Yarrowia lipolytica: one gene and its partners. The protein of the gene in region 2 binds, or shares a complex with, the protein of the main gene of each other region. Links are inferred from orthologs where the notes say so. Each region holds a gene or a part of one and is shown on either strand. Other genes may lie near its edges. A codon is read from its position in the direction of its gene.

Region 1 (2,000 bases), on a different chromosome or scaffold from region 2:
TGCATGACGCCATGGACAACAGCGAGAAGGAAAGCGCGTTTGTGGGCATGTGCACCATCATCTCGTCCAACCCCCAAGCCCTCGACAACTCCACCCTGCTCATGTTTGTGAATGCCGTGGCCCGATACCTGGAGCCTAGCGAAGCGCTGATGCACACCTTTCGACAGGTGCTGGGTGGCCTCAAGGGCATGCACCCCAATTTTGACAAGGACGTGACCGAGCAGCTGCCTCCCATCATCCAGAAGCGACTGCGTGACGTCTACGGCGTTTAAACTAGACTGTACCAACTACAAGCATGTACACTCCATAGCTACAATCACTTAATCATGCCTGGTGCGGTGGAGAAACGGCTCCCACGGATTAATAGAGCCATAGAGAAATCAAACGATAGATGTATAACAATGACATCAAGAGTATGAACATGTCCTTGTAGAGATGTATGTTGAGGAGTATCGCCTACAAGATTTGTACAAATATATCAATAAGCAGCATCCAATCATAAATCCAGAATGTATGCTTTTCGGGTTCATCATGTTATCGTCAGTTATCATCTCGTTTTACTGTCTCCATATTGTCCCCATATTGTCTCATCATTCAGCTTGCTGCTGACACTGAACCATGCATATTGGAAGTGTTCCATTCGCCCACAATAAGCTTTGCTCCCAGCACACCACAGTGATGCTCCCCAGGGTTACCCTACCGTTCCTCCCAACAGCCAATGGAATCACACGGGTATCTTTCAAAGCCAAAGCTCACGAAAATCATCTCACCTTCACTAACTAAACACATCTATCAAAATGGGAGGCAACGGACACTACATGGGATGGTGGGGACACATGGGCTCCCCCCCTCAGAAGGGTGAGTACAAGAAGACAGGATGAGGCCTTGCGTTATTTATTGGACGCTATTCGACACGCGATGAGGGCTTCAGGACAACAATGGTGCGTGATGATCAGGCGGTGACCTACGTGGACAACATACCACATCAAGAGTGTGTTAGAGGTGATCAATGATATTGGTACAACCAGTCCACTACTACAACCGACCCAGGGCCAACTTGGTCCCTTTGTGGTCGAATTGAGGGTCTAGTAAAAAGTCACGCGCAAGATAGACAAACCATCACCACACACCAGTCAATCGTCACTCCTTCCCCAATCATACTAACTCAGGTATCGCTGGATACACCATCTCCCCCTTTGCTGCTCGACCCTTCGCCGGTGTCGTGCACGCTGCCATCTTCAACACCTTCCGACGAACTAAGAACCAGGCTCTCTTTGTCATCCTGCCCGTCTCTTTCTTCTACTACGTCTGGACCCAGGCCTCTGAGAAGAACGAGTGGCTCTACACCAAGGCTGGCCGACACGAGCTCGCCAAGGCTCTTGCCGAATAAGCATAGAAATACATATTAAGATCGACATCGTGGATTGTACGTAGAGGTCACAGCAGTCCCCTGAAGTGTGCACTGTATTGTAGTTAATCAGGTCATATTAAATATGCCTTGTATTGGTCATGATTAGACACTGCAAAAACGACTTACGATAATTCTTCCGTTGTATCGTATCTCTCGTATCACACATACAATCATACAGTGTCCAGAAAATCAGATGTTAAACACGGAAAACAACACATACAGTACAGTATAACCACAAAGAAAAGCTGTACAAGTATCTTAGATATACATTCTACTGTAGCCACAGGGAACAATAACACACAGATGAAATACACTCAATAAATATTAAATAGCTAGTTTTTATGTGGCGTCACCTTGACACTCTTCGAAACCGTGGTGGACTGACCCTTGTGGAACAGCGGCAGATCATACTTGAGTACGCCGCGAACAATGAGCTCAAACGGCTCGGAGCAAATCTTCTTCCACCGCTCTTCCGGAGTCAATGGCTCCTTGTCCTTGTCGCCCTTGTCTTTGTCAGGTACCCGCAGCATCAAGGGTACTCCTGAATCCAGAGTCGCATTACGGGGCACACCGGGGTCATTCAGACGGA
Region 2 (2,917 bases):
GATGGTAATAGTACACCATTCGCTGTGAACATCTTCTCTGATTCCAATGATACTCCCTTTACAATGTTTTTCTCATTATTTCTCAACTGTCCGAGATCGGCCCACCCCGTCTACTTGTTCAACGTGCCCAAAGCTGATCAGTTTGTTCAATATTTCTAGAATTTGTAGTATTTAATAAATAAAAACCTTTCTTGTTGACTTGGATAAAGGAAGTATCAGCGTTGGTATGTTCTCCTTTCAAATACTGGAGCCATAACGCCTTTGAAGCCAGAATGTACCCAGAAACAACTTCTACTTGCACCTGCTTGTACTCACGATCTTGTAGACCTCCAGCATATACATTGGTATGTAATTATGCCGTAGCTAACTGCGCCAAACAGGCAATCACCTGTACTTCGTAGAAGACTCCAGTCTAACTAGATATGGTCCTGGAGACGGTAACCGACGTACCCCTACTCACAAAGTCCACTACACTCCAATATCCTGATGGTGCTTCACAACCCATGCTACATTCTTCCTGATCGGTGACAGTCGTTCTGCGACAATGTCCTCCAAGTCTTTCTGACTATTTTATTACGCCTCCAGGCTATATGCAAAGACGGGAACAATTACCATCTCATCATGCTCATGTCGTTTCGGATTCGGTTGTAATCGTAGAGACCCTCGATAGGACCCAGTCCGACCAGAGCAATATCCTTGTCGTAGAGAGTCTTCTGGGCCCAGGCTCGGACGTCGTGCTCGGTGACGGCCTCGAGCTTGGCCTCGACCTCAGCGGGGGTGACTCGTCGGCCCAGGGTGGTGAGCTGTCGTCCAATGTCCTCGGCAACGTAGGTGGTGCCGTCCAGAGACAGAAGGAGACCGGCCTTGAGCTGGGACTTGGCTCGCTCAACCTGCAGGTTGGACACAGAGGTGGACAGTCGGTTCCACTCCTTGAGAGTAAAGTGGACGAGATCGTCAATCTGAGTGGTGTTCTCGGAGGTCAGGTAGATACCCCACAGACCGGTGTCGGAGTAAGAAGTGGAGAAGGACTGGAAAGAGTTGGCCAGGTTGTTCTCAGACACAATGTTGGAGAGACGAGAGCCCTGGTGTCGGGAGGTGCCGACGGCTCGGTCGTAGTTGCCGATGATGGCCTGGGCGACCAGGGCAGTGTAGTAGTCCTCGGAGGTCCAAGAGACACCCTCGACGGCAATGGCAATGTGGGCCACGGGCATGGTGTCGTCTCGGAGTCGGACCTCGGATCCCACAAAGTTGGGGATGGGGTTCTGGTTGGCGTCCTCACCAGAAGATCGGGGGGTACCGAGGGGAACGGGAGACTGGGAAGAGGGCAGGTGGGAGAAGTACTTCTCGGCGAGCTCGACGAGGGCGTCGTGGTCGACGGCTCCGGCTCCGACCAGGACCATTCGGTCGGCGGTGTAGTTCTCGGTGATGAACTTTCGCAGCTCGGTGTTGGTGATGGTCTGGATGTTCTCTCGGGGGCCCAGGATGGTTCGGCCCAGGGGCTGGTTCATGAAGGCGGTGGCGTGCAGGTGGTCGAAGACAACCTCCTCGTACTGCTTGTTGACCTCCTCGAGCTCCCGGGTGATGACCTCTCGTTCTCGGTCAATGGCAGACTCGGCCAGCTTGGAGTGCTGCAGAATGTCGGCGAGGATCTCCACCGACTTGGGCACGTCGTCCTTGAACGACTTGGCGTAGTAGACGGTGGACTCTCGCGAGGTGTAGGCGTTGAGGTGGCCGCCCATGTTCTCAATGTCGAGCTCGAGCTGGTGCTGGGATCGCTTGTCGGTGCCCTTGAAGGCCAGATGCTCGAAGAAATGGGCGGTTCCGTTGTTGTAGGCGTTCTCGTTTCGCGAGCCGGCGTCGATCCACACGCCCACGGTGGCGGTCTGCACCAGAGGGTTGGACTCGGAGGCAATGGTCAGTCCGTTCTTGAGGTTGGAGGTTCGAGTCTTGGGGGAAACCGTGGTGGCAAGACCTCGCTTGGACATGGTGAAGACACCTCGCTTGAGGGCGGGCAGTCGCAGAAGAGAGTTCATGGTGTCGGTTGGATCTGTGGTCTTTCAATTGCTACGCCGTGTTGTGCGACAAGTAGAGAAAAGGGGGTCGTTCGATCGATGCGAGAGAGAGACTACTCGGACGGGTGCAATAGAGAGTGCGTGTTAAGGTGAAGCCACTTTCCCTCAGACATGATGCACATTTTTCCCGCCCTGTGAGTGGTCAGATTGCTCCCAACCAACCCTATTTTGCTTTCCCGCGTTTCTCATTGGCGGCGGACGAGGTGGGTAGCACTGGCTACAAATCGCCGAATCCTGGCCCTGGCCCCTCCATTCCGCCCCACGACCACCCTGCTCTATATATACCGCTTCTCCCGGCCCCGCAATGTCAAAAAACCCGCTCTACACCGCCCCACACAACCCTCGTCTGCTGTACCGCACGTCAAATCACTTTTCCTTGGAAGCTTATTTACTGTATAGTAGGCACTTGGTAGTGACAAATTATTGTCAGTAGAAGACTGGTACAAGCAGAGTCGCGCTTAAGCCAATTGAACACGCAATTGCCCAATAAACAACATACCGGGGGAGCGAGGGGGGGCGAGGGGGGGGGGGGGGGGGGGGGGGGGGCGAGGGGGGGCGAGGGGTCACCGTGACCAACCCCCCATCCCTCCCCCCGCTCCCTCTCTCACCCTGATCCCAGCTTGTGTGGCCTTCATCCTTCATTCATCTCACTAAACAAGCTTTGTCATTCGTCCAACCGGAAAAGTCCCTGGTCCCGTCCCAGCAGCCAATAGGAGGCGTTCCATTATTTAACGTTTCCGTAATGGAGGCAAAATGCCCCCCAAAAGAAGCTTACTCAGCGCACTATACGATAAAGACCGGGGAAACATCTCTACCTGAAACTGAGCTCTGCCAGCTAACCACAC
Region 3 (2,061 bases), on a different chromosome or scaffold from region 2:
TAGCACCTTTCGGTACATTCCATATTTTTGCATAAAGTGGGTATTGAGATGATAAGGCGGATATTGTGGGGTGGACGAGAGAGGGGAGGATGTGACTCGGGCAATGTCACCTGTGAACAGACACGAGTCTTGTGTTTTTTGAGCAAATATCGACAAGCTACAGATGAGCAAATGAGATGACAGGGAGAGACCCAGGAAGAGGTGGAGATGACGAAAACAAAGACGATTGCGGGATGGATGGCACGACAGTTGTGGTGACGACGTGGAGAGTGTCGTGGATTGACTTGGAAAGTGTCATGGGGAGACATCGGGAGTGTCGTAGGGAGACGCGGGCAATGTGATGACTACATGCAGCGTATAACGAAGGAGAAATCGAGACCGGGGATGTCGCTATGTCGCTGAACTTGACTATTCGACCATTCGACTATTCGACATTGTGATGCACTTTACTAGTCGATGCCAGTCACTTCGCACTTAGCACTTTCAATGCATCAACCCTCTGACGTTTCCACCGACCCGTTACCTAATTCCGCACTCTCAGAACAGCTCAAATCAAACGACACAAAGATTTCGCAGATATCACAATTTCACGGATACCACTGAACCCCTCGAAAACGTGTTTGTGACACACCTGTGGCTGTGGCTGTGGCTGTGACGTGACTCCGTGTTACGACTAAGTGACGTGACTTATGTCATCATCAACAGATGGTGACAGCGTCAAATGCCATTTACCAGTTTCACAGCAGTTACTCTCAGCTGTGGCTGTATCCCGTACCAACGTATCCAAGCCGATTCATCATGAGATGGATGGGTCTGTGAGTTTGTACCAGACTTTTTGCACACCACGCTCTCACTCTACTGAGTCCACCACGCTTATGTCTCCTGTGCTTCAGTACTAACCCAGATGTTCGCCCTGAGAAGATCTCTGCTTTCCGCAGGCCGAATCGCTCGACCCCAGCAGGTTGCTCGATTCTCCTCTGCCTCTGCTCTCCTGCAGCACAAGGCCGTCAAGCCCGCCGAGAAGCTCTCCGAGGTCACCGGCCCCGAGTCCCTGATCGGAACCTCCGCCGCCCCCGGCACCGTGCCCACTGACCTCGAGCAGGAGACCGGTCTGGCTCGACTCGAGCTGCTCGGTAAGATGGACGGTATCGACATTTTCGACCTCGGCCCCGTCATCCGACCCCAGCACTCCGTCAAGGGCACCCCCGACGACCCCATCTGGGTCCCCACATACGACAACTCCCGAATCGTCGGCTGCTCCGGTACCCCCCACGGCTCCCACGAGGTCCAGTGGTTCCACGCCGGTGTCGATAAGGTCGGCCGATGCGACGAGTGCGGCGCCGTCTACCGAGCTTATGAGCTTGGCGCCGATGAGGAGGCTCCCCACCACTAAGGCTATGTATGTTAACTGAACAAACTGAGAGATTTGTCGCTTGTGCGTTGAAACCGTAGCGACATGCGAAAGAGAAACAACCATGGAACGTACAAACACAGCGTCTGTGTTGTTTTACAGAGGAAACCCGCTGTATCACCGCATGAGTAGCACTGTGGATGTAGACTGTAGGGTGCGGACGGGTGAATCTGAGAACCCACTGTATTATTGTGATACTGTAGAAAGTACGAGTACCTTAGTGGGACTGAGATGTAACCCTGAAGGCGACACTTGTTCGGACGTCGAAAGTCACGACACACCATGGGTGGATGTAACACCACCGTAGTTCTTAGCACCGTCATCTGCTCAGCTGTGAGACTGCCGACACGAGTTTTTCCAGTCACAACTGGAATGACACCGCTCACCGAGAGTGATCGATACAATGAATGGGTAGGCTCAATGGGTAGGCTCAATGGGTAGGCTCAATCTCAATGAGTAGGCCCAATGGATAGCTACCTTTTCGGGTCGCAGGGTGTCGAGAGATTCGGTACCTAGTGTTGCATTAGCACCGTACGCACATGACCAACCAACTGGATAGGTGTTTGTGGACAGCAATTCTGGTCAGGTCAGATGTGAGGTGTCAGGGCTTTACAGTGTAAGTCAGATATGTGGTGTCAGGGCTTTGTAAT

Evidence for each region.
Region 1: the proteins of YALI1_A14736g (region 2) and YALI1_F02758g are in contact, whole or in part, in a cryo-EM structure (PDB 8ABH), measured with the Yarrowia lipolytica proteins. Residues at the interface, in XP_500073.3 of Yarrowia lipolytica: Met176 (codon at 1,508), Val264 (codon at 1,244), Gly265 (codon at 1,241), Ser266 (codon at 1,238), Glu267 (codon at 1,235), Val268 (codon at 1,232), Arg269 (codon at 1,229), Leu270 (codon at 1,226), Arg271 (codon at 1,223), Asp272 (codon at 1,220), Asp273 (codon at 1,217), Thr274 (codon at 1,214), Thr356 (codon at 968), Thr357 (codon at 965), Asp447 (codon at 695), Glu457 (codon at 665), Gly458 (codon at 662), Tyr460 (codon at 656), Tyr462 (codon at 650), Asn463 (codon at 647), Arg466 (codon at 638); in XP_504875.1 of Yarrowia lipolytica: Trp10 (codon at 825), Trp11 (codon at 828), Gly12 (codon at 831), His13 (codon at 834), Met14 (codon at 837), Gly15 (codon at 840), Ser16 (codon at 843), Pro17 (codon at 846), Pro18 (codon at 849), Gln19 (codon at 852), Lys20 (codon at 855), Gly21 (codon at 858), Ile22 (codon at 1,172), Ala23 (codon at 1,175), Gly24 (codon at 1,178), Tyr25 (codon at 1,181), Thr26 (codon at 1,184), Ile27 (codon at 1,187), Ser28 (codon at 1,190), Pro29 (codon at 1,193), Phe30 (codon at 1,196), Ala31 (codon at 1,199).
Region 3: the proteins of YALI1_A14736g (region 2) and YALI1_E23635g are in contact, whole or in part, in a crystal structure (PDB 1HR8), measured with the Saccharomyces cerevisiae proteins. The link is inferred for Yarrowia lipolytica from reciprocal best matches to the Saccharomyces cerevisiae genes MAS1 and COX4. Residues at the interface, in NP_013264.1 of Saccharomyces cerevisiae: His70, His74, Phe77, Asn100, Ala101, Tyr102, Thr103, Ser104, Arg105, Glu150, Val154, Glu160, Ile180, Leu181, Trp277, Tyr282, Leu286, Gln289, Ala290, Asn294, Gly302, Met324, Ser327, Thr328, Ser329, Gln379, Leu380; in NP_011328.1 of Saccharomyces cerevisiae: Ile8, Arg9, Phe10, Phe11, Lys12, Pro13, Ala14, Thr15, Arg16, Thr17, Leu18, Cys19.

The regions. Positions count from the first base shown.
Region 1 is NC_090775.1:275,043-277,042, reverse strand, and holds YALI1_F02758g (uncharacterized protein), read left to right. Parts: upstream 1-797; coding exon 798-858; intron 859-1,169; coding exon 1,170-1,390; downstream 1,391-2,000. Other genes in the region: YALI1_F02794g (uncharacterized protein), read left to right, coding at 1-272; YALI1_F02726g (uncharacterized protein), read right to left, coding at 1,744-2,000. UniProt on the Saccharomyces cerevisiae protein: Component of the ubiquinol-cytochrome c oxidoreductase, a multisubunit transmembrane complex that is part of the mitochondrial electron transport chain which drives oxidative phosphorylation.
Region 2 is NC_090770.1:1,472,753-1,475,669, reverse strand, and holds YALI1_A14736g (uncharacterized protein), read right to left. Parts: upstream 2,034-2,917; coding exon 609-2,033; downstream 1-608. UniProt on the Saccharomyces cerevisiae protein: Catalytic subunit of the essential mitochondrial processing protease (MPP), which cleaves the mitochondrial sequence off newly imported precursors proteins. Preferentially, cleaves after an arginine at position P2.
Region 3 is NC_090774.1:2,362,579-2,364,639, forward strand, and holds YALI1_E23635g (uncharacterized protein), read left to right. Parts: upstream 1-904; coding exon 905-1,393; downstream 1,394-2,061. Other genes in the region: YALI1_E23629g (uncharacterized protein), read right to left, coding at 1-308. UniProt on the Saccharomyces cerevisiae protein: Component of the cytochrome c oxidase, the last enzyme in the mitochondrial electron transport chain which drives oxidative phosphorylation.